Neodiprion lecontei: one gene and its partner. The protein of the gene in region 1 binds, or shares a complex with, the protein of each later gene. Links are inferred from orthologs where the notes say so. Each region holds a gene or a part of one and is shown on either strand. Other genes may lie near its edges.

Region 1 (12,243 bases):
AGTAAAACAAACCAGATAAATGACAAGAAGAGAAATCTTGGATTTCAAAAAAAAATTTGATATAATTTCAAATTTTGAGTAAACTTGAAATGTTTTTTTGGTCGACCCCACTTTTCATGAAGAAAATTAGTATTAAAAGCCATGTGCATATCGCGCAACATCTCTCTTGGTTTCCTTTGCAGTTTATTTATTTATGGATTTACAAGTAGTATGCTATAATAGGCCAATGACAATTATAGCAACACTCTATTTGAAAAGACATTATATGCAAGTTAGAACCACTTACTGTAGTAGTTGGCATTTGTAGTTTTTAACTCTGTGACCTTCGTCAATGATGATGTACCTCCATTGCTGACGTTTTAATAAATTTTCCTCTTGCATAGGTACTTCGAAGGTAGTCAAAACCACTGGTTGTGTTTTGTATCCATCAATATCAAAGTTTTTCTGTTGGATCGACCGGTAATGTTTTGTCCTCTCTTCTGGAGGTCCGTGTAACAAAACAACAGGGATTTTTGGAGCAAAGTTTTCAAACTCCATTAACCAATTTGGAATAGTAGAAAGTGGTGCAATTATCAAGTAAGGTCCTGGTATTTTCTTTTCTATCAAGTGGCAAATCAACGCAATAACTTGAATAGTCTTTCCAAGACCCATCTCATCTGCCAATATACCATTTACACCATTCTCGTACAGCACACAAAGCCATTTTAAACCTTCGATCTGATAGTCACGCAATGTGCCGACAAAATATTTCAACTGTACAGACTCAACATGTTGGTCCTTGTCTGGATAATCTGTTTTTGCTATGTTTCCGTCTGTTTCCATCATTAGTTCATTTGCTATTTCTTTTTGACTGAGATTCATTTTTTGTCTTTCTTCTTCTTTATTCTTGACCTGTAGGTATATCAAATTAGCAAATCTTGGAGAAAAAAAATATGCTAGTATAATACGTGGCATGAAAATTGCTCTACCATTTTTGGAGAAGTAAACAAAGACAAACAATTATAATACATATTCAAGCGAGAAACCAACAGGTCTTTAATAATAATTGACTATTACGTGATTATTACAGTTAAAGTTCCATCTTTATCATATTTACAACCTTGATTGATTGAAAAATTATAACAAAACTTTCAGACAAATTACACAATTTTATTAATTTCATTGGAAAACCTAATTTTACATCACATGTATCACCTTGAGAGCATTTTTGTATTTTATGGTAATGTATATCGATAAATTCCACTTATGTACTAGCATCTAAAAGTTACTAGTGATGAAATGCACAGAGTTGACTCTTGATATTTTGAAAAAAATTTATTGGTTGGGGTTATAGGATACAGTACACACTGCGCAAACAATCCATACAAATAAAAAGCGATGGTGAATACGCACATGTACAGCACAAGAGGAGCTATAAGAATAGTGCATCTGGGAACACTCACATCTTTCGCAGTCACATATTCCCTTATGTCATAATCTTGATTTAGTTTCTGAGCCTTCTTAGTAATTTTTTTTGGTGGTGAGTTCTCATCGCTTACTTTGGGCTTACGTTTATTTCCTGGTTTCTTTGATTCCTGTTTTAAAGACTGATCAATCTTTTGAACCAGATACTTCGAATAAAACTGGCTACGATCGAGCAAATGCATCAAACGTTTGTAGCGAAATTCCACAACTTCTTTTTCATACTGCTCGGCAGCTAAGCGTTTATTTTCTGTCTCAATCTCTAGGGTTCTTTTACGCTTTCCCTTCGTAGATCCTTTATAGTCAATCTTAAATGGTCCATTATTAATTTTGACATCATCAGCAATTTTGCTTATTGCCAATGTTTCGTCCTTTGTAACACTTGTGGCTTCTAAAGATATTCAAAATAATGAAAATATTGAGGGATTAATGAGAGTAAAAGCTTGTGGAAAAATATATTTCAAAGTGAATTTTTGAACAATGGAAATGAGTGGAGAATTTTAACATCTACCAATGTGTGCAGAAGCAAATTTAAGTTTTATTTCTAAGGCGAAAACAAGAGTAGATTATTTTTGGCCAAAAATTATATTAATCGGTACACTACAAAGTCTTTGAATGTACGAGACATTGAGATGGAAGATAAAACTAGAAAATTTAAAAATTAATAAAGGGTCAGGCGAGAGAATTTTTGTTAAACATTATTTGGATGCAAGTAATAATTTTCTGCTTTCAGATTTATCCTCATTATTCATTTAAGAGGTAACAGTGATAGTTAAAGACTAGTAATAAACTAGCAATATAGGAGAAAGTAAATATAAGCAGTTACACATTTCGCATGTGTAAACAGACAAATAGAAGTCAAAGAGGATTACTCTATCCACCAGCTTAGAGAGTAAACTTAACTGACAAATAGAGCCCGTATCTACCAGAAATATCGTAGCAATGGGTATTCCCATAAAAAAAAATTTGCGATTTCATATAAACACCTGCCTTTAACGAGTTCGCCAAAAATTCGTGTGATATGGAAGAAAAACTGCAAGCCATTTAAAAATGGTTTATACATGACTAGAGATTTAAATTTAATAACCCTGAAAATTCACACGGCTCACATCTAAAAGTATGCAAAACTACCGCAATTTTGTCTGTCCCTTCTGTTTATCACTGACGACACTCAACTGTTGTTCGCCGTTCATTAATTCTATACCCATGCCATGTCGTGCTTTAATTGCCATAAGGTAGAAAAACGTGTACAATACCTGCGGAAGCTACGGATCCTGAAATGCTAGCAAATCCAGAATCGTCAGCAGCTCCGACATATTCAAGATTTTCAGCAATGTCTTGCAGCTTTGTACTATGTAACTTGGCACTCATATTGACTTCACATCAAACAACAAACGAGAAATAATTTACCTGACAAAATATACGATAAATTGCAAACACACTCCACGAGGTCTACATAACAAGTGAGGCCAAGTCCACTGCCTGAACCGCCTGAACTCTTGCCGGCACTCGCGATGATGTTATGCGGCCGGACACGATTCCCGCCAAATGTTGCGTCGTACGCTAAGCACAAAGAACCCAGTGATGTCACTTTGAAGTAATTTCGGTAACGTACTAGCCAATCAGAACACTGCATCCACCAGGTCCGAACACTGAACTATTCGAACAGCGGAATGCGCGTTCTGTCTACCGAGTGAAGTAGTTGATACGGGGGTGAACTATCTCTGTCGGTATCACTTATGGTATGCCTATAGGATAGAGTTCAGGAGGTAGATTCATCACTCGAGGACATTCGTGGTAAGAATGTGGTTGTCGGATGTTTCCGTCATTTCAAAAGATGGTGTAATTTTACACATAAATACCTGTTTTGGCTATCCCACCCAAGGACATCAACTATTTCGTTCAATCTTTTTTTTAGCACCATTAGCTTGATGATAGGGTAGAGATTAACCCGGAAGTTTGTTCACGTAAAATAATTCACAAAAAAAAGAAACAGCCTTCTAACTGCAATCAGAAATCAACAGTGATTGATTTGAAGATACAGGGCGCTAGGGGGCTCGGCAATTTAGAATTCGTTACAGGTTTCAAGTATACGATTAGTTTCCTTTTTTTCCAAAAGTTTCGGGACATTTCTATGAAATACCCGAAGACTTACAGATAGTCTAATCTACTAGACGCTCTGAAAATGTCGAAATCATCTTAACTAACAAGGTTTCTTTACATGTAAATTGGGACTTGGCTATCCTAATGTTGCATCAACACATTGCTGTCAACTGTTGAAAACACTCTATAAATAAATCGTTTCCAACATTTGATTAAATTGACTTGGTGATAATACTGTTAATTGTAATAAGTTTTTCATGTTCTCTAATAAGATGTGGAAATATTTTTTTATTTTTCACGAATGTAAACTAATACATATTCGGATAATTGTATTAAAACATGATCCAATTTAATTTTACTGTATTTAACACAAACCTTGTGTTCCAACTTGGGGAATTCCACGATTCTTCCGACCATTTTACGATCGCTGGTCACACTGATCCACAAACTGCGGATTTCAGGAATATCAAATAAAGAAACTATCTGCAAATAAATGCTCCAAGCCTATGACAAGTTTTTAATTTTTTATTATTCCACATGTACAACACTGCGGTGACATACACATAAATGATGTATCAAATGGATTTAAAATTTCATTCTGTGGGGATATTGGCTGCTTCGAAGACCGAACATCGCTGACAAATAAGTGAAGAGCAATTTTTTGTCCTGGTGTTTCTTGATGGCTCCAATAATTAGTGTATCCACAGTTTTCTGGTCGATCTTTCTCTGTTCAGAAGGTTTGTAGTCTACTTTCTTTGTGCTGAAGATATCTCCCTCTTCTTTCTTGGCACGCTTGTTCTGGGTCCTTTTGTAATATTCGTCCTTTCCTACTTCTTTGGGTAGTTTCACACCAGAAAGGTCGATCTTTGTCGATGTAGCTATCACGTAATTCTGGCTAACACGACGTAAAGGACAAGCGTTGATTAGGAATGGACCTGTAAAATGTTAATCGTGTGACAATTTATTCACAAAATGATAATGGCAATAAAATACTAACAGAAAAGATAAAACTAACTCTGTTTACTTCAAAGTAGTTCTAAATATATGAACTAAGACAACTTTACTGCACACTTTTTTGAACACTATAAATGTCTGAAACTGCGTCATCTGTCGTTTCAATCGTATGTGTTAAAATACACACAAAACACTAAGGCCTTATTTTTCTGAAAAAATAGAGGAACTATTTTCTACTGCAATACATAATGTTTATTCGAATGAATTCAATTCTTCTGCACTTGTGAGGAGCACATATGGAACGCCCACTTACCAGTTACTAACAAAAGACCACTACGAAGCTGCTTCAAGAAAACAACTCGCTTTCCCTTGTGGGGCCCAGCCAACAAAATCAGGATTGTACCAGGAGTGATGGTGGGTCTGAGTCTGCGAACATGTTCACGGAAAGTTTTCTTTGCATGGTGAACAGTGACTGGATCAGCAGTAGGGTAGTTCTTCCTCCTCTTCTTAAGCAGAACTAATCTGGTACCTCCATTTTTATCACCACCAATCTTCTTTTCAATGGTCACAGGCTTCTTGGGCTTTACCTACAATGCAGGTGATTAGTTTACATTGGTGGTTTAGCAAAATTTCATTACAAAATCAAATTATAAATTGGGCCGATTAATTGCCTTAAATCAAAGAACATCCGATAAACCATTATTTTGATTGAAAAATTGTTACAATATCGGATTACAACAGTGTGAGAGAAAAATGATGTTTAAGCAATGCTAAAAATATACAAAGTTTCTAGAGAACTTTCTCACAGTTAAGCTGGGTTACTAAAACCAATGTTAATAAAGATTTAGAAAATTATGCGTTAATGCTTGTACGACTCTTGGCAATTAAATGTTGCGACTTCACACCCACTTTGTTTAGATAAACAACAAATCGGTTGGTAATTTCATCGCTTTAATTTCCCTTTCATTAAATTATGGAGCTATAATGTGCAAGAACCACCTTGGATTAGAAGGGATTATTACCTATAATATTGGTCAGATCAAATTATTTTTTTATGAGTTTTTAACTGATACCAGCATCAACTTTCATAATATTCAGTATCAATATGAAGAATTATTTGGAAAAATTACAAGACTCAAGTTTTTAAAATTTCTTTGAGTGATAGAATTTGCTATTGTTTAATTTTCAAAAAATATTAAAAAAAATTTTTAGCAAATTGATAATCTGACGCAAGTTTTACCTGGAATACTACAATATGGAAAAAACCTAAGTGATGGCTTTTTCTACATTGTACATTTACTAAATTTCAAACATTAACTTACAGTTTTCTCGGTCTTCTTGCCAATGAACTTGTAAAGAGCTTTTTTGTGATACATTCGAGTTCGGCTGAACCTGTAGACTCCATTTCCTAAATCACGATTTCTTGGTTTGCCACGGACCTTGCGTCCATCCTTTTTGGCCTCAGTAGCCGCAGGTTTGGCCGGAGCCTTCGCTTTAGTATCCACCATCTGTAATAAAATTATGACTCAATCAGAACTGAAACACTTTAAAAACCCAAAAGTAAAATAGTCGTAAAAGTGCAGTAGGATATGAAAAGTTTCCTGTATGGTCTAATGGATCTTGATTCAGTAATGAAAACACATCACAGAACTGTTCAGTTGAATTGTAATGACACGTTAGGCGATGCACACTGTAATCTAGGGGAGAGGTTATGTTTAGTTAAAATTAAGACAAATGCATTAACTCATTCATCTCAGAGATTGGAGATCACAGTTTTTATATAGACTCTTGGATACAAGATATCACGTACGAAATTGATGATATGTATATAAAAATATCGAAACAAAGAATAAACAGCATTTAACGTGAGGAGCTAGACGTATCGACGTCCGTGTCGACATGCCATATAAACATTTTAACTGTTGATGCAAAAAATGTGACGAGTTATAGAAATATTAGGCGCAAATTGAAGTAGGCGAATTAAACTGATGTTATTTGATATAACTCCCAAACCAGTACGACCAAGAACGTTAGATTATTTGGATTCTCTGAAGAAAATTACGGCGGCTGATACTTACGTCGAAGCCAGCGGATGGTTGAAAGAGCCTCCATCTGCCGAACGAGGCTGGAAATAACCACTTAGGGCACACGTTTCCGGTCTAAGCGCAACGCGCGTTTTCTGCCGATTTTAAAAATTATTACACATATTCCATGCCAAACCCAACATATAGCTGCATACTTGGCATCAATGAAGCCTTTTACTGTCTTAACATTGCTACTTATAGTGGCTAGATATTTGCAACAAACGTTTGTACATTTTCGTGTTGCAATAGAATTAATAAATGTTCCAAAACGTAACTTTCAGCGTTAACTGACTGTCAGTTCTGATTCAAGCAATGTGAGTTACTTTCCTACGCCTTAGCGTGGTTTTCAATTTGGTAAAAACACTGTTAAATTAAAAATCTTCATTGCGGTGCTATTCAATTGCTGAACCAGTATGGACCAACATTTTCAGCTTGGACTTTACTCTGATCGGAGCCATGATCGGAGATAACGCAGAAGGCGAACCAATCCCGAAGCCTTTTTAAGCGGAATGCCCGAAGTCCGCTGATGTGAAGTCAGCCCCGGCTACGGGGGGATATCACGATAACGGCCGAATCTCCGTTGTCTGGCTTCGGGTTAAAAAATTCTCGGATTAGTCATCTGCAACATATCCGCGAGAAAACCACTCGTCGTCAGTCGCGTCGCAACTCTGAAACAGCGTAGGCAGGAGTCAGGTTTGCGGTGACTCGCGAGCGCGCAGCCACTCGAGAGAATCTCGTTACCCGTGCGGCTGTCAGGAGTCGAGGCTGCCAACGAAGATGCCCTCGTCCCCGAGAAGTCCTGGATCTGCGGACGGATACCAGCGTTTCGACGATGAGCCAAACGTCACTTTACGTTTAGAGGGTTCCTACGGAGCGAGTCCAAGTAAGCAGTTGCTTTAATTCCTCCGTTACGCGGGACGTGAAAACGAAAAGAAACTTTTACATTGGATTAAATTGGCAATTTGCTCCAAAAGATATTTATTATACATACTCGAACATGATGCAGTAGTGAATGATTTAGTTTCTTCAATTACTCTTTTCTAAATCTCCACCTCGAACCGGATCTAAACTTGTGATCTCGGTTTTCATCTCATTCCAAAGATATGACTTAATTATGTGAAAAGTACAAAATTTTTTTCACATCTATTAGCTGTTCAATAAGTACTCTAATCATATTTGAAAAGTTTGATAAGATAGCTCTTTTTGCAGATAGATTTGGATGATGACTTTCTTTTATTAGTTTTTTTATTACGTCTGTGTGTCTATTCAATTGCCAGGAAATGTTAAACTCTACTCTTATACAGTTAAAGTTGTCAATTGGACACGTATAATGAAATGCTAATTATTGTCTTAAAATTCTGTCCTCAACCGAAATTATTATAGTTGATAATTACTTTCAATGATAATACAGCATCTGTATTTATTTTGCAGTGCGACTTTGTGTGGTATAGTCTGGTTTTATTTTTCCACAAATCTGATATCAACCTATACATATAATAATTCAAATAACCAAATACTTGGTAGATTAAAGCTCACTAATATATTAATGCAAGTCACCACACATTGCTTAGACTTCTGATCAAGGTTTTTTATGGTATTATTCACAATATTTTGCAATATCCTTCCACATAATAATTACCTACAATTTAATACATAAAATACAATGAGCTTGTGGTAATATTTTAACTTTATTATTGCAAAATACGAGTTCTGTTGAGGTATGAAAAAAATGTGAGCATGTAGACAGGAACCGATATACACTGACTCCTGGCCGTTTAAAAACAGATGATCTGATGCGTAATTTAGACAATTCAGCAAAGTTTTATGTCAAATAACGGTTCAAAATATTCCAATTAACGAACCATCAGAATCAAAAATCATATCGCAAATAAATAGTTAGTTTACATTTTGGATTATGTGTATTATCTAACAGAACTAAATTACACACTGCATGGTAATTTTTAATTTCATTAGTAGTAGCTAAAAATAGTTTTGTGTTCTACCTCAGGCTTGGATGTATTTCCAGTAGTTAATACTCTGCAATTTTTTTTGTAAATATGGAAGTTGCGCCCACTTACTTGAAGCAAACGTGTCAATAGAGTGACTATTTTTCAATATCTCTATTCCTGTACAAAAGTACACGAGTGTTAAATTTTATCTCTATATAATCTGTTTCTATGCTCAAATATTTGATAAGAAAATGTTTGCCGCACAACTTATTTCAAACTGATAGAAACATTCGAACTAAGGCTTGTCTGTCTCTAATTCCAAACTATACACGTACAGTATGACATCATATACCAGCATCCGATTCATGTTCTCATGAATATGTAGACGATATTAATGTTTATAGAAAGTCGTGTACAAACTTGTAATTTATGAAATGTAAGTATCCTAACAGTGACTAAAAACAAAAAAAAAATACCATGCCAGATTATATTCCTTGTGACTAATTTGCCATTAATACAAAATGTGAACTATGTAAATACAGTAATTTAAAATTCCGTCAGTAAGAGTTGTTTTAGTTGTTACAAATAATTTTGACCGTGATCTTATCATAGACCCACACAATATCAATTTAGAGTTTCCATTCTTAGCATTGTGTGTAGGATGTAATAAATGCAGGCTGATGTTAACATGTAGTAAAATGTTGTTCTTTTATTTTCTTTCCTTTTTTTCTCTTTATTTCAACTACCACCTCCATCAATCTGGTATCGGTCATCGCCCTGAACATCGTGGAAATCATCTGCCAGTGCACTTAACCATGGAGGAAGGCTTTTGCTGCTAACGCATGCTTGTCTCATTCCTGCTGCGTGCTTTCAATTTTTTTCTAGAATATGGGTCTATGTTGTCTTGCGCTTCTTCAGACGGCAGAATCAGGATGACCCCAAGGGAGAATACGGATACTCCGAATGAAATCGGTCACAGAATTGGTGCAACGGATGGTGAAACTTTGTCAGAAAATGCGGCTTTGGCGAGGTACGCGATTGGTATAGATGCGGACGTACACTGGGAAATGAATTATCATGAAGCAGCCATATTTCTTGAGGTAACTTGTGACGAAGAACGTACTCTCATTCAAAAGCCATGATTCCATATCAGTATTATAAATATTCACGTTGAGAGAAATTGTAACTCACACCTGGAGAGTTTGGTGGCTTCAGAAAATTTTATTTGTCCACAGGAAGGTCGAAATAATGAGAAGTTTGACTCTCATCCCAGACATCCAGAGGATTTACCAGCCTACCTTTTGGTGCATAACAGCTGGTATTATGGCCTTGACCTATTGACTTCCCTCATACTTTTAGCCTTGGCATTTGTTGAGGAGCCAGCAGTGCCTCTTTTCAAGGTCAGAAAATCGTTTCAAGTTGTTTATTGTCATAATTATTACTCTGTTTTATTATTGAAATTAAATTTGTAGAAATTTTTACACTGCATTTCAACGATTTTAAAGCTAGCAGCCGAAGTTAGCGGCCAAACCTGTTAAACTTTTTGGAAGTATAAAAATGTCGTTCAGTTTTATCCTCATAATTCTATAAAAGTAATGTGAATTCAAGGTATTTTACAGAATTTTTATCATCGGACTTCACCACCTTATTCAAATGAACATAAGAACGTTTGGCTGCTAAACTTGGCCGCTAGTTTTAGCCTCGTTGCATCTCAGGTAACTTGACAACTGGATGTCTGTTCACTACCAAGAATTATTTTTATATCTTGCATTCATTGGAAAATATTTGTGTAATTATGGCCATACTTTATACCGGACTTAAATTCATGACTATAATTCGAAAAACTTGGAATAATTTTGTAATAAGTAAGCAGACCCTGAAAATATATGGTTAACCATGGATTGTTGCTGTTTCATGTGTGTACAGAGTTGCACACACACACATTTAATTCATGCATATTAAATATTAGCTATTATTACTCACAAGGTACAGTCAGTAGTTTCATTCCGTTTCTTTTTTGTTTTCACTTTCCAAGTAACAATATTGAAATTGGAATTTTTTTCCTCCACCATATTATGATACCTTGTAAACCTTAGATCGTGAGTCATTCAAATTTGATCTCTACCTTTTATTGGTCTTACCTGAAGCTGCAGATTGGAGGTGCTTTTATTCTATGCATATGCATAATGATGATTTACCCCTTTTCCGGATAGCTACCCGTCTGGGCGCATGGATCTATCGAGCTTCTGGCTCTAATCATAATAGGAATAGAATTAGCATTGAAACTGAGATGGATCGGATGGGGAACAATTTTGAAACACAAACGCACAATGCTTAAGGTATATATAAAATAACCAGACACTCGCTTCTTTTTCATTTGCCATACATTTTTTTTTCATAGCCCTTCCATCTCATCAATACAAATTACAGATCATACTGTAATTGACTGATACAATTATTTGTGAGATGACATACATTTTTCTTTTCGCTATAATGCAAAGTACTGAAGCAGTCCAAAAAATTTGTGGCAGTCTTTTTTTCAGTCGCTTCAACTCAAACTTATTGAACGTAATAAAAAATTACAGAGGATTATAGTTATGATATTCTTTGGATTGTTATTAAATAAAAAATTTCTTATTAGAGACTGCAAAGTTGTCAGTAGACATGATATATAAACTTTCAGTTAAATTTTTTCCCTACAGAGTTTCCAATTCATAAACTAAAATCTTGAAAATCTTCAGATATGTTGAATTAGCTCGAAAATACTTTGTTTCTCTTTTTCGTTCTGTAATATCGATATTTTAAATATATCATTCATATTATGACATACGCATAATATGTTGATATACCTGTTATTATTCAATGTTCATATATCAAACGTCCATGCTTCACTCTGCATTACAGCTGTCTGTTACATAACAAAAGAATGAGCGTTAATACGCTTTATATTAATACCAGACTGATCCGGTGCAAAGCTGACGTATGGAACATCAGATTACGATTTACATGACGCATCAACAATTCGTTCATGTAGTACATACGAATATAACAACTGATTCGAAATTTTATGTTTTATAGACTCAAAGAATAGAAAATGAAAGCAATTTACTCAACCTACTTTTCAGATATCATTTATTCAAGCTTATCAATACATTGCGCTTTAAGAGCTACGATGTGAGCAAGTCCTTATTAGAATTCTTGGAACCTACTCAGATAATTAAGAGATTTTTAATATCAAAGTTCAAAATCTGTATTACTCACATGTAAACCAAAAGTGATCTCATTGTTAATTCGGGTTTTTCCCGGTTGTGTTACTGTTAGGGTATTGGAGAATTTTCATGCGTTCATCTGTGTCTAGTAGTGTTAGTGTTATCACCTTTGCTCTCTCTTGCAGTTATTCAGCTCGATAGTTGAGTAACCGCTTGTCTGGGAAATGTGATATAACTATCATTTTAATAGCAGAATAAGAGGAAGGGGCAAAATCAGTGCACACTATATATCCAGCAATAGTAAGTTGTATGCAAATCGTAAGTTTGTTAGTCACAGCATACAGTATAAGATCTGTAATACATAGAGCACGGATATCACTGGCTTGTCATTCAGCTTCTCTGGGACAATGCACTCTCTGACACTGGAAACACAGTGATTTTATTGAGAAACATTTCGGTAGAAAATCTCTGGAAAACTAATTT
Region 2 (11,845 bases), on another chromosome or scaffold:
TAATTAAGCTAAATGATACTCTGTTGTTGGGACCAGATCCATTGGGATACTTCATACCAATCGCTGTAAAAAGTATTCATAGAAAGAGAATGCCGGTCCGTGAAGTACGTGGAGGTCAAACAGCAAGTTTTGCCTTGAAAAAAATCAAAAGATCCCAAATTCGTAAGGGAATGGTAATGGTTTCACCTCTATTGAATCCCCAAGCTTGTTGGGAATTCGAGGGTGAAATTTTGGTACTACATCACCCTACTACTATCAGCTCAAGATATCAGGCTATGGGTATGTTGTATCGTAAATAATCTACTCTTGACATTACCACAAGACCTTAGTTCGTATACAGTGAAACTTGTCTTAACGGACACCTCTTTATAACAGACAAGTTAGAAATCCCTCACAGAAATGCATCCTTTTATTGGAAAATATACCTTCTAATAACGGATGCAGACACTACTGGGAATGCATTTTTCCATGAAAAGACTTCTGAGTGGCGGACACTTTATTTTCAGTTTGTTCATTGTTTTCCGAACTCTTGGTTGTTGATGTGCCGTCGCGCACGCTGAAGCTTGCTACATGTTTACCTTTAACGAAATCGTTCTTTCATAAGTTAACAAACTATATGTTTTATTATAAAAAAAATGTTTTTTTCGATTGTTACAGCGTATGTATTCTGAATACTTACATTCATCTATTCATTTATGTACCTTGGTCCGTTGAAATATTACATGTTTATACAGGTTTATACATATTTGTGTAATAAAAAATGAACCATTTTCTGAATAACATACACTTTTTAATAGCGGATAGTATTTCCGGTCCCAGTGTCCGCTATCGAGAAGTTTCACTGTAAACACTTCAGGAGATAGGTAGTAATAAATCATTGTAAGAATCTTTATTTTTTTTTGTTGCAGTGCATTGCGGCAGCATAAGACAAACAGCTTCCATTCTAACAATGTCGCAAGACTGTCTCAGAACAGGAGATAAAGCTCTGGTGCACTTTAAATTTATTAAACATCCTGAGTATATAAAACCAGGGCAACGTATGGTCTTCAGGGAAGGGCGAACAAAAGCCGTTGGCAATGTTTTACGACTCATACCCCACTCTGGACCTACTGGTTCGCAAACAATGAGGGGCAATAAGCCTAACAAAGTACAGCAGAGTCGTCAGAATGGCTCTGCAATGATGCCTCTTACACAAGTAAGCTGATAAAGCTATTTCTCAGAAAATTTACTCGAATAGATCTTACCACAATTTAACTGGTTTTATTTCCATTCTCGACAATGAACTTTTAGATGCCAGATGTAGCAGACCAAAATTCACCCTTCGAAGTGTCTGCTGATAAGCGCGAAAATATGCCACAAAGATCGGGCTCTGGCGGCAAAAAGGGACGAGGCCGAAGAGGGGGACGAGGACGACCCCACAACGCGACAAGCGGAAATGTACAACCTTTATCTGAACAAAACCCTCCAGCCAAAGTTTAAAGAAAATTTGTGTACAAAGTATAAATATTTCCTTAGCAATATTACCATGTGATGTAATAGAGCAATGATAACAAAATTTTATTCTTTTTTATAAGTACCAGTGCTGCTTGAAATTTGAAAATTTTCTTCTGATAAATTTTGGTAAAAATTTGATAGCAGCCTAGACATTCACGATATTTTTTTGTTTGATATCAATACAATATTAATCGATGAAACGTTTATTCACAGACTGATTTCATCATTCTTTTTCACAAAGCGTTGTGTTAATTGATTTGACTCTGATTTAACCGAGAATATAACAAAACAGTTAGGAATTGACTCAATATGACTTCTAAAATAGGACAAAAAGAAGTGAATAAAATTTATAAACTGTATCTTAATTTTCGCTCTGTTTTTTAAAGCTTGCTTTTCCTTTCCCATAGCAGCACTAGTTAGAACTTTCTTTCAAGGTCAACGGGACTGTTACAATTTAACATTTCATATCACATACTTATATACATATAAATATGTATTTAAAATCCGAACACAAAAAAGTTTGAAATATTCGAGGCACATGTAGCAAAATTTTAGTAATTATATTCCAGTTTTGTCATATTAAAGATATACATTACATATCTACTTTTTTTGAATAGACTATCTGTATGCAAAATTTTTCCAACAGATATAAAATTGCAATCCGAATTGTTTATCAAACGAAAACACAGTCTTACAACTGCGTGTTTCTCAGTTTAAAATCTAAGAATAACATACTCCGAACCTATCCAGGAAAAAGACACCCCATCTCTGTAAACCATCTATAGTGTTCCACTCGATCATTGAATCGATATATTAGTTCGTTTTGTTGTACTGAGCAGTTTCTTACATAGTTCCATTACTCCTAAAGAATAATTTTTAATTGCCGAATTTCAGGAAAGTATGTTTGTGTTTTCCAGACATGTTACGCAAACAGTTGAGGTGAGAGTAAAATCTGTATATATATTTTTTGACATTTCCAGACATTGGCTGAATTACGTCGAAAGTATATCCGTGAATAATATGTATTGATTTCACATCTCCTTTACTGCTATAGCATCATTAGATATGGGGTGAAAACAGCTGTTTTTGGTATCAATGCAGGCTTCAATTACTTTTTTCTGTTCACTGTAAGTTACTTCTTTTGCGCTTGTCCTGACTGTATAATTTAAAGATGAAACTGTGTTTCTATATGTATATTACACATGTAAGGGCTATGAGTTTAATACTTTGTAATTCATTGTACTATTTTTCAAATGATTGAATAGGTGGTCGAGAATGCTTGTTAGACAGATGATTTTCTTTGACTGATTATGATGTTAATATTAATATTACTATATAGATAGTAGAAATTTTAGAAGATAAGATTGATCTATGGGTTGGATTTCTAATGTTGATTCTTTGTGAAAGTATTCAATATTCATATAAAGTATTAACAATAATCACGTGTGCTACATTAGGTTTCATCTGCCCAATTTGTTACAACGGATAAAACTCTAAGAATACTGTAAACGTACGTACTGTATTATGCAACTTATAATTTCGATACTTTATCGAACTAACAAGATAATTTTCAAAGAAGTTGATTTTCATGTTCAGTAAAACTGGACTGATCTTAATACTCGTAATTCTGGTGTTTTTCTTGTTGTAATATCAAATAAATGCCATATAATACAATCTGAAATTGGAAATAACTTCTCTTTTTACATCGTAGTTCACTGGTGACTTATATTTCCTATATTTTGTGGCAGAATAATCCTTGCTGGATTTAAAAGAAGAATTTTTTTTCACAGCTGGTTAATTTCTGCAAGAGGCTTTAGTAAAGTTTGATAAAAATATACAAATATGATGCAAATTCACTTTTATATGAGTAAAATTACATTGGATAATCCAAACGGATTATAAATGTTGTAATCTAGTCTAAAAACAATTAAATTTGAAACATTTTCCACAAACTACAAAGTCTGCTCACAATTGGCTGTAGATACTATCAACGCAATATAAAAAGTTAATTTACTTGGTAAGCCGATTGATGCCAAATGATATTGAAGAATTCACAAGTATGCTTATTATTTTGTAGGTTTCTCTAAAAATTTGACTTACAAATTTGTATGTATTTTTGTGGGTACACGTTTGTCGCTGCCTCTGCCGTATATAAACGTTGGATGCATATAGGTAAAGTGCAAGAAAATTAAGAATAACAAGTGATTTATGAATAATGTAGAACAAACTAAAAGTCGAGCAGCAGGTTTGGGTATACTAGTTATAAGAAGGATACATACTCTAAGAGCACTCAGTCCTCCAAATGAAAGTAAACATAGGAAAAAGAAGGCGTTACTTTCTTCTTGATATATCATAAGGCTCAGAATTAATGTTATGAGATGAGAATACAAGGCATAGCCCAACAACCCAACTAAATCCCAGAATACCATACTTGCGCGTGCCAATTTACATAGCACAAAACCTAGACAGGGATTCACAACAATATATAGCAGTACTGAAGTTACAGGAGCCATAGTTAAATCTGTAGCCGACGGCTCTTTAATCCTATATCCGTAATTTAGAATTGCAATTAAAATTAAGACTGCTAGGAGGGGTCCTACTAGATCTATATTTTCAATTCTAAATTTCTTGTTACAAGGAGGTCCGAGGGAAGCTATAATCCGTCTTCCAATATCGTAGGGTGTAACTTTCATATAACGATTGACAAACGAAACATGGCCATCAACTTTAACGCAATATTGTTTGGAATCTGTAGGCACCAATATAACGGCTGATCCTTTGTACGCCATGGTAAACCAATGGGAAATATTAAGCTATTAAATCTAATTCACAATTCAGAAAAAAAAAAAACTGATTCATCGAAGTCTTTGAGATGGATAACTAATCGCAGGAGAGTAATTTGGTTACGTTAGAATATATGTTATTTAGATTGTTTCTTTTCCTGATCCTTCTTAGCGTCTGCAATTCCTTCTTTGAGATTAGATGAGAAACGCGATAATAAACTTGCCCATTGCTTGCCAAGCTCCTGTGGACTGGATGGTATACCGTGCTGGGAAGAACGTTGCATAAAATAAACAACCAGCTGAGCAGCTCGTCTTATAGGTTTTGAATCTGCTAATTTGTTGATGAGCTGTTCGTTGTTGGCCAAGTATCGCATAAGAAAACGCAGAACCATAATGAATTATAGTATGAAAGTCTAATTATTTATACTTTGGGTACGTCGAATGTACACATATTACGATACTTGAGTAGTAGTTCTCGCTTCAACTTGAGCTGCCTGCGAAGTGTTTCTAGCTTCTGTAATTGCTCCTCTTTGCTATATTCTATCCCAGGCAATTTTTTTATCTAAAAGCAATGGGTTTCAGTTTATTAAATTACAGAGAACGAATATTTAGTCATGCTAAGCATGATTATCGTCGAGTATACACACCTGTGATCGTGCAGAGTCCAATTTTTTTTGTAAATCTAGTATTTTGTGACTCGTATCCTGAGAGTCCTTAGCTTTTTGGGTGTTGTCATGAGGATCTTTTTCCACGCTATGTGGAACAAATCAAAATTTTGTTGCATTACATAACTAGTTTGATGAGACAAATTAGCTGTACATTTAATAAGGTAAATTCTTGTTCATACGTAATCCTGTAAAACTCCAACGTCACGATCTAATGTTCGCAGAGCAAGTGAATAAAATTAGAATATCAATTTGAGAAATTGAGCAATCATGTACCTTGTGTTAATAATTTTGATACGCAATCATATGAGCTATAAATAATTTGACAAACGTGGCAGACAATGGGGAGTGCTTTCGCAACTTTCTATCTATAATAACTTGAAAAAATGGAGTACTATTTTTGGCATGTCAATTTCAAAGGGTATTGCTAGTGTTAACAAGAAAATAAATTAAACCCACATACCTTCGGATTATTTCGTAAACAAGCGGTAGAATTTCTATGTCTAGATCGTCGACTGTGAACTGACTTCGAGCAGGCGCTTCCTCTGCTATCTCAACAACTTCCATCATATTTTCACCGCAATTTTTTTCGGCATCTTCTGCTTTTTCGACACTAATTTTTTCTTCTTTCGTAGACAGTTTAAATGAATTTATCTACACACGTTCTTTATCACGCGAACTGGTCGTTCAAAGCATTTAGCACACCACGAAGGTTTGACAAAATTTTACGGTACTGTCAGAAACAGAAGCCGGAAAAATCAAGTTTTGTAGATGGAGCGATGGCAAGGAGCTTAACATCTAGCTTGTAAAGTTAGACATAGAATGGACGTAATCGTTAGTATAGTCTATGGTGTTGCACCGCGAATGCCGGAAGTAGCTCCTGGACATTTGACCAGAAAATTGATTTCCGTCACTTTCATTTGGGCTATCAAGGGTAGTAGGTATGTATCGCGAATGCTGTTTTATATCTCTGATAATCCGAGGAATCCTACACAACGGCAATTAATTAGTCTTACTGAACGAAATTAGGTTAATTTACCAATTGTTAAGAGTGATAGTTTTTTCGATAAATAATTGTGGTGTTTATATTTTCAGTCCAAAATGGGACGCCGGCCAGCGAGGTGGTAAGTCGTCATGACTCGCATTTTCTAATTTAGGAAAAAAAGAAATAATCGAAAAGAGAAATAATTGTGGTACCTTTATTCCTGACCAACGATTGCTTTAATTGACTCGAGCTACGAATTAATCCGAGGCTCTAACAAAATTCCCTTTTTTGTGTCAACGCAGGTGTATGCCAAGCTTCGAAGTGCACTGTTCTGTATTTAACCCATTACTGCCGCTTCATTTACTCACTTATTTTGAAGTTCTCTGTAATTGTCGCGAAAATTTTGCTAATTAGAATTGCAGTTCCAGACCATTAGTCAACTGTAGAGAATTTTGTGGAACTGAAAGTTCGACATGATGGTAACGTAACCTCGTTAACACTGGTGTCTAACCTGTTTCGCAATATGTATCATTTAATTTATAATTTATACAATCAGATGTCATTGTTGCAATACGCTTTGAGATAAAGGTTTGGGAATCTAAGTGCTGTGTAAATATGTTATAAATCAAATACTGATGAGAATTTTTGTTTAATTACAGTTATCGCTACTGCAAGAACAAACCATATCCTAAGTCTCGTTTCTGTCGGGGTGTCCCTGACCCAAAGATTCGTATCTTTGACTTGGGAAAGAAGAAGGCATGTGTCGAAGACTTTCCACTCTGCGTTCATTTGGTTTCTGACGAATATGAACAGCTTAGCTCAGAAGCTCTAGAAGCAGGTCGTATTTGCTGCAACAAATACATGGTCAAAAATGCTGGCAAAGATCAGTTCCACATTAGGATGCGACTCCACCCTTTCCACGTCATTCGCATCAACAAAATGTTGTCATGCGCTGGAGCTGATAGGTAAATTACGTGAACAATAGTAACTCATTTATCCAACAACGGAATATTATCTACTTAGATGGAAAATTAATGCTACAAATTTGTTCAACTATCTAGGCTCCAAACTGGGATGAGAGGAGCCTTTGGTAAGCCTCAAGGTACTGTTGCTCGTGTCCGAATCGGGCAGCCGATCATGAGTGTGCGCTCATCGGACCGTCACAAGGCGGTAGTTATCGAGGCTCTACGGCGTGCCAAGTTCAAGTTCCCTGGTCGTCAAAAGATCTACGTTTCTAAGAAGTGGGGATTTACCAAGTACGAACGTGCCGAATACGAAGATCTGAAGGTAGCTGGTCGTCTTGCCCAAGATGGTTGCAATGTCAAATATCTTCCAGAGCACGGACCCCTAGACGCGTGGAAGAAGTTCAGAGAAAGCCTGGCCAGTGCCTAATCTGAGCCAAACACTTCTGTAAATGTGGTCTCAATAAATTTTATTCCGACTAATTAAAATTGTGCGTCTTTTACTATTATACCTCGTTATGTTGCAGGAAGATGCATGCTATAAGTTCAGTATCAATTCCAGATCTTTTTTTGCCAATTTACCATTTCCATGGTGAATATTACAAAGTTCGCTTTTATAATAGATCCATTGTTACAGGTATGAGTATTCTACAGATGTAGCAGATGATCATCTGTTCGGAGTTCATAATAAAATAGGTATAATGTGAAAAGGATGGTGCTGTGATTTTAAGAATTTATTTTACAAATGATTAGAACGCCATATCCTACGTAACTCATTACAAATCAGTAACGTCATAGAAAATAAAAGTTGAGTGAGATTACGCGTCCATAAAGTTGTCAATTGTAAATTATGTACAGGAATATATTTAACAAAAAATATCCAAAAATTGGAAATATAGTTCACTAAAATACTTTGTTAGTAAAATGATTAGAAAGTACCTAATTACCTAATTAAAATTTGAAAAATACAATATTAAGGGAATGTATGGCCCAATTTTATAACACAACTGTTCAAGCTGCCCTAGGCTACCTGCATTTAACTTTGAAAGTTAAAAGAATACATCTGACAGATAAATTGCACTTTGAAACTTTTTTGCCAACGAAAGATGTAGGTATCATTATTGTTCGACTGTTTAACGAGTTTGTGGTAACAAGTTTTAAACTTAGTGTAAATTTTTCTCATTAGTACGATCCACGTTCTTCACACTTCCGTTTTCTACTTGCAATTCGTCATCGATATCCAAATCATCTATAGGCTCTATGTTATGCATCGGATGAAGACTGGTATCCAATGCTTCTGTACTTGTAACTGCGTCCAATAAAGGAGATAGTTTCTCTGCTTCACTATCATCATCTTGTCCCTGAAAACGTTGACGAAATTATTTGAGAAATGAATCTCTCAGTTTGTTAGCAGCAAAACAACTACTTTACCTCATCGATAGCAGTTGATTGCTTCTCATTAACGAGTCTTAATGTGTCTCTTGTACGAAGGGCCGTTTTGTCACGTGGACGACTAATTACTTTGGCTCGTGCAACTGGAGAACGACTGCGAAGATCTTTTTGAGAACCAGAAATTTCATCCCTTGCAAGTAGAACAGACATTCGGAACTCGGGTGTTGCACAAGGCATACCACTAGTTCTTGGTGACTTCTCCGTATCTTTTGGAGATGCATGTTTCGAAACTGGCGTACGCTCAGCTGATCTAAAAAAAGTTCTTGTTTCTACCATCCTACTATGATCTACAATCTATACAATTTAACCCTTTAAGATTACACCTTTGATTCATGGATATACAAGTTTGAGCTTGGAACCCCATCCTATTCTTCGTTCTCATACAAGTTTGATAAGTTTTACGCGTCAGTCACCAAGAAAAAGTGATAAATTACCATTAGATTATCGTTTTCTTATCAAGTAACCTAATATTAGGGTTAGTTTTAAGAAAATATTTTCTTTTTGTACACGTGCATTATTGTTGTAATGAACATTATTTTAAGATGCAGTTAAAGGGTTAAATGTGTTAGACATGGAATGTTCATGATTTTAGAGATGCGTGGAGTTTTGTTAGAGGCATGTGAGGGTGAAAGCAGTAAAGGACGGTTATTTGAATTTCAATAATGGCTAGAAAATAGTATATTAAAATCTTCATCATTTTACTGACATACCGATTTAAAATTTCAGCAGCTTGAATAGCACTGGCTGTGTCTGTGTCAGGAGTATCCAGGGACTCAATTGGTAGGACCGTTGCTCTTGGTGTATAAGGGCCATTCAAAGCTTCTATGAGCGATACTGCCTCATAGCCAGGTGGTATATTTTCACAACTACCCTGGAAAGTAGTTTAAGAATCGAATTTATTTGCTGGTTTACGAAGAGAAGTGAATTAGTCAGAACTGGCTTCCATCATACAGACTAATGACAGCTTGAGTTATAAAACAGAATGAATACTAATAATCAATACCTCAGCCAGTGGCGGATTGGACAGTATTGCCCCAGTCGCTTTCTGCAAAGCTTTAATTTGCAACAAAGCCCTGAAAGGTGCTCGACATATAGGACAATTATTTGCCTGATACCGTAATGAGTCCGCACACCCATTACACAGGCACAAGTGCCTACAAGGTAGAATCAATGTATCACGTACGTCACACATGCATATAACGCATTCAGATCCACTATCTTCAGTATCTTCATCGCTTCCTTGTTGCTACAAAGAGAAATAAATTAATTGAAAAAAGTGAATTTTTCAACATGCAACTTTATGGTTCCTGTTTTGTGTAATTGAAATATCATCTTGACTGTTTCTGCGATACCTTAGCATTTTCGCTGTTCTTATTTTCAATGCCGTAAATTTCTTGAATTAGATAACAAAGCCCATCTACGTATAGCTTTTGTTTCAATGCTTTTAACACGTACGATCCATCGGAATGTTTTTCTATAACAGCGATAGTAGTATGAGACTGTTTTGGCTCCTCCGTTCCCTCCTCTGCAACGCAGTGAATTGCGATTGGAATGACCTGGAAAGTAATACTTGTGTAATAGTCAGGATGTAAGGATATAAAATAGACAACTTTATGAAGTACTATTTTGTTTGTCAAGTGAAGCCAAGTTTTAAGATAATCACACCTCTCTGTCTGGATTGTATACTAAATCTTCCTCGTTGTATAGAGTTGGATCAAAAATATGAGACGATTGGCTGAACTGTTGATTAGTACCCTTTTTATAATGATATGTCTCAGAATTCATCGAAGGATCTCGAGGTATATACCTGAATAGATAAAAACAATAAAATGCAAATTCGAAGTGTTATAATACTCAGTATGGTTATTCTCAAACTCTATTATACTTACACAACTCCATTAGCGGTTACATCCTCAGTACAAAAATAATAAACCGTTATGGCACATCTAACGTCACAGTCGAAAGTAAATTCTATGTTAAACCTGGTAGGTTTATAGTCGGTATCTCCATCTCCGTAATGCTTACTATTATGGTGTTGCGACGAAGTTGATGTTTGGTCTATGATACGCACTAGCCGTAGTGATTCCTTCCGTATGTTAACGAGACTTTTCAGAGTCTTTGTTGGATCGTTGGCTTGAGGCGGAGGATATGGAAACTACGGAGAAAAAAAATAATCTATATTGTCGAAAAGAGTCCAGGTTCAATCCTTTCACAGTCACGAGTACTAACCGGAGTTGGCCTACTTCCGAGGAAATTTAAATCAGCATTTTCTCCGAAAAGGTAAGCTTCCGGTTGAGGTGTATCGAACCTCTCACCACCCATTATAAAGTGGCTTCCAAAATAACTGCCTGTTAATTTATGAAAGTTTGTAATCTTGTTCATTTATGATTCGGTGTAATAGAATTAACGTCATTTGTCTTTTGGGAAAGAATGTATTTATCGTGTAAGAAAAAATAAATAAAATTGTTGTTATGAAGATATGAAGTTACATGACAAAGCTGCCTCTGACAGTAAAGTAATAGGAAGAGGTACATAATAAAATTTCATTAAAAAGTATGGAACGTAATTTAATAATAATAACATTTTACCCGAACGCGGAGGATATTTGTAGGCATGGTTTGAAACTATGTCGACTTCTTCGACACCAGCATTTTGTCTGCTGGTTAGTGAGCCCATTTTCAACTATTTTCGTTGAAAATGCGAGATGAAATGAAGAAAGTTCGCTACTCGTTCGCACTTTTGACAACTAAACAACATTCAACAAGGTATCTACGGCCTCATCAGCTGGTGACAAAGCGTGGTAAAGACCATTGATGATACAACTCACGAGATTACACGACAAGGAAGTAAAAGTGACGTATCTCGCTACCGCTGGTGATATAGAGAATTGTCCAGTTAACGATAGTCTCTCCATTTCCCACTGCGTTATCTCTGCAATTTTCTTAGTGTCTAAACATTTCCAATGAACATTATATTATATCAGGGGAAATCCAGTTAAGTTTTGTTAGCATGTATCGTGAAATTAAGATGTAAAACACCATAGTTATCTGTTGACATTGAGATTTTCTGCCGTAATTTCTATCACGCTGTAGTCCAACGCTTTGGGAGATTGGAAGACTGAGGACACATAGAGATAATGCTTTGAATCATTTCGGATCTACTTATCTGGAGTACGGTTTCAACTCTCAAGTGAATACCGCCCCCCGCAGTGGAAAAATTCAATTGCTCCCGATGGCTCTGTGTCCAGTGATACATTAATTATTATTTTATCGCGGTGGTCGATGTAAACGATTATCTTCGACAGATATATTTTAACTAGTTTTACCACAGATTATCGGCGTTGTGGTTATGGTGGTTATGTTGTGTGGTAGCTCACGGAGGACAATTGGAATGTTACCATCACGGAGTATCGCTGATTGACTCTTGTGCGTCGTCGTCCTATTTATTTATTTTTTTTCACCTTTTGTTTCGATTATAGTGAATCCTTGACATTTATATCGTTAA

Evidence for each region.
Region 2: 60S ribosomal protein L6 (region 1) and 60S ribosomal protein L10 share a complex: the UniProt entries of both Caenorhabditis elegans proteins name them as parts of the large ribosomal subunit. The link is inferred for Neodiprion lecontei from reciprocal best matches to the Caenorhabditis elegans genes rpl-6 and rpl-10L.

The regions. Positions count from the first base shown.
Region 1 is NC_060262.1:33,926,122-33,938,364, reverse strand, and holds 60S ribosomal protein L6, read right to left. Parts: upstream 6,286-12,243; 5' UTR 6,271-6,285; coding exon 6,262-6,270; intron 6,027-6,261; coding exon 5,841-6,026; intron 5,106-5,840; coding exon 4,832-5,105; intron 4,500-4,831; coding exon 4,150-4,499; 3' UTR 4,072-4,149; downstream 1-4,071. Other genes in the region: lymphoid-specific helicase, read right to left, coding at 287-891, 1,443-1,852, 2,718-2,832; two pore calcium channel protein 1, read left to right, coding at 7,380-7,485, 9,437-9,651, 9,787-9,951, 10,765-10,890. UniProt on the Caenorhabditis elegans protein: Component of the large ribosomal subunit.
Region 2 is NC_060264.1:6,100,895-6,112,739, forward strand, and holds 60S ribosomal protein L10, read left to right. Parts: upstream 1-5,755; 5' UTR 5,756-5,883; intron 5,884-6,037; 5' UTR 6,038-6,043; coding exon 6,044-6,066; intron 6,067-6,586; coding exon 6,587-6,892; intron 6,893-6,988; coding exon 6,989-7,319; 3' UTR 7,320-7,378; downstream 7,379-11,845. Other genes in the region: GTP-binding protein 1, read left to right, coding at 1-279, 909-1,195, 1,291-1,479; protein YIPF3-like, read right to left, coding at 3,591-4,283; mediator of RNA polymerase II transcription subunit 9, read right to left, coding at 4,699-4,839, 4,925-5,030, 5,406-5,512; probable E3 ubiquitin-protein ligase MGRN1, read right to left, coding at 8,053-8,250, 8,321-8,591, 9,052-9,212, 9,345-9,587, 9,694-9,897, 10,007-10,148, 10,231-10,496, 10,571-10,689 and 1 more.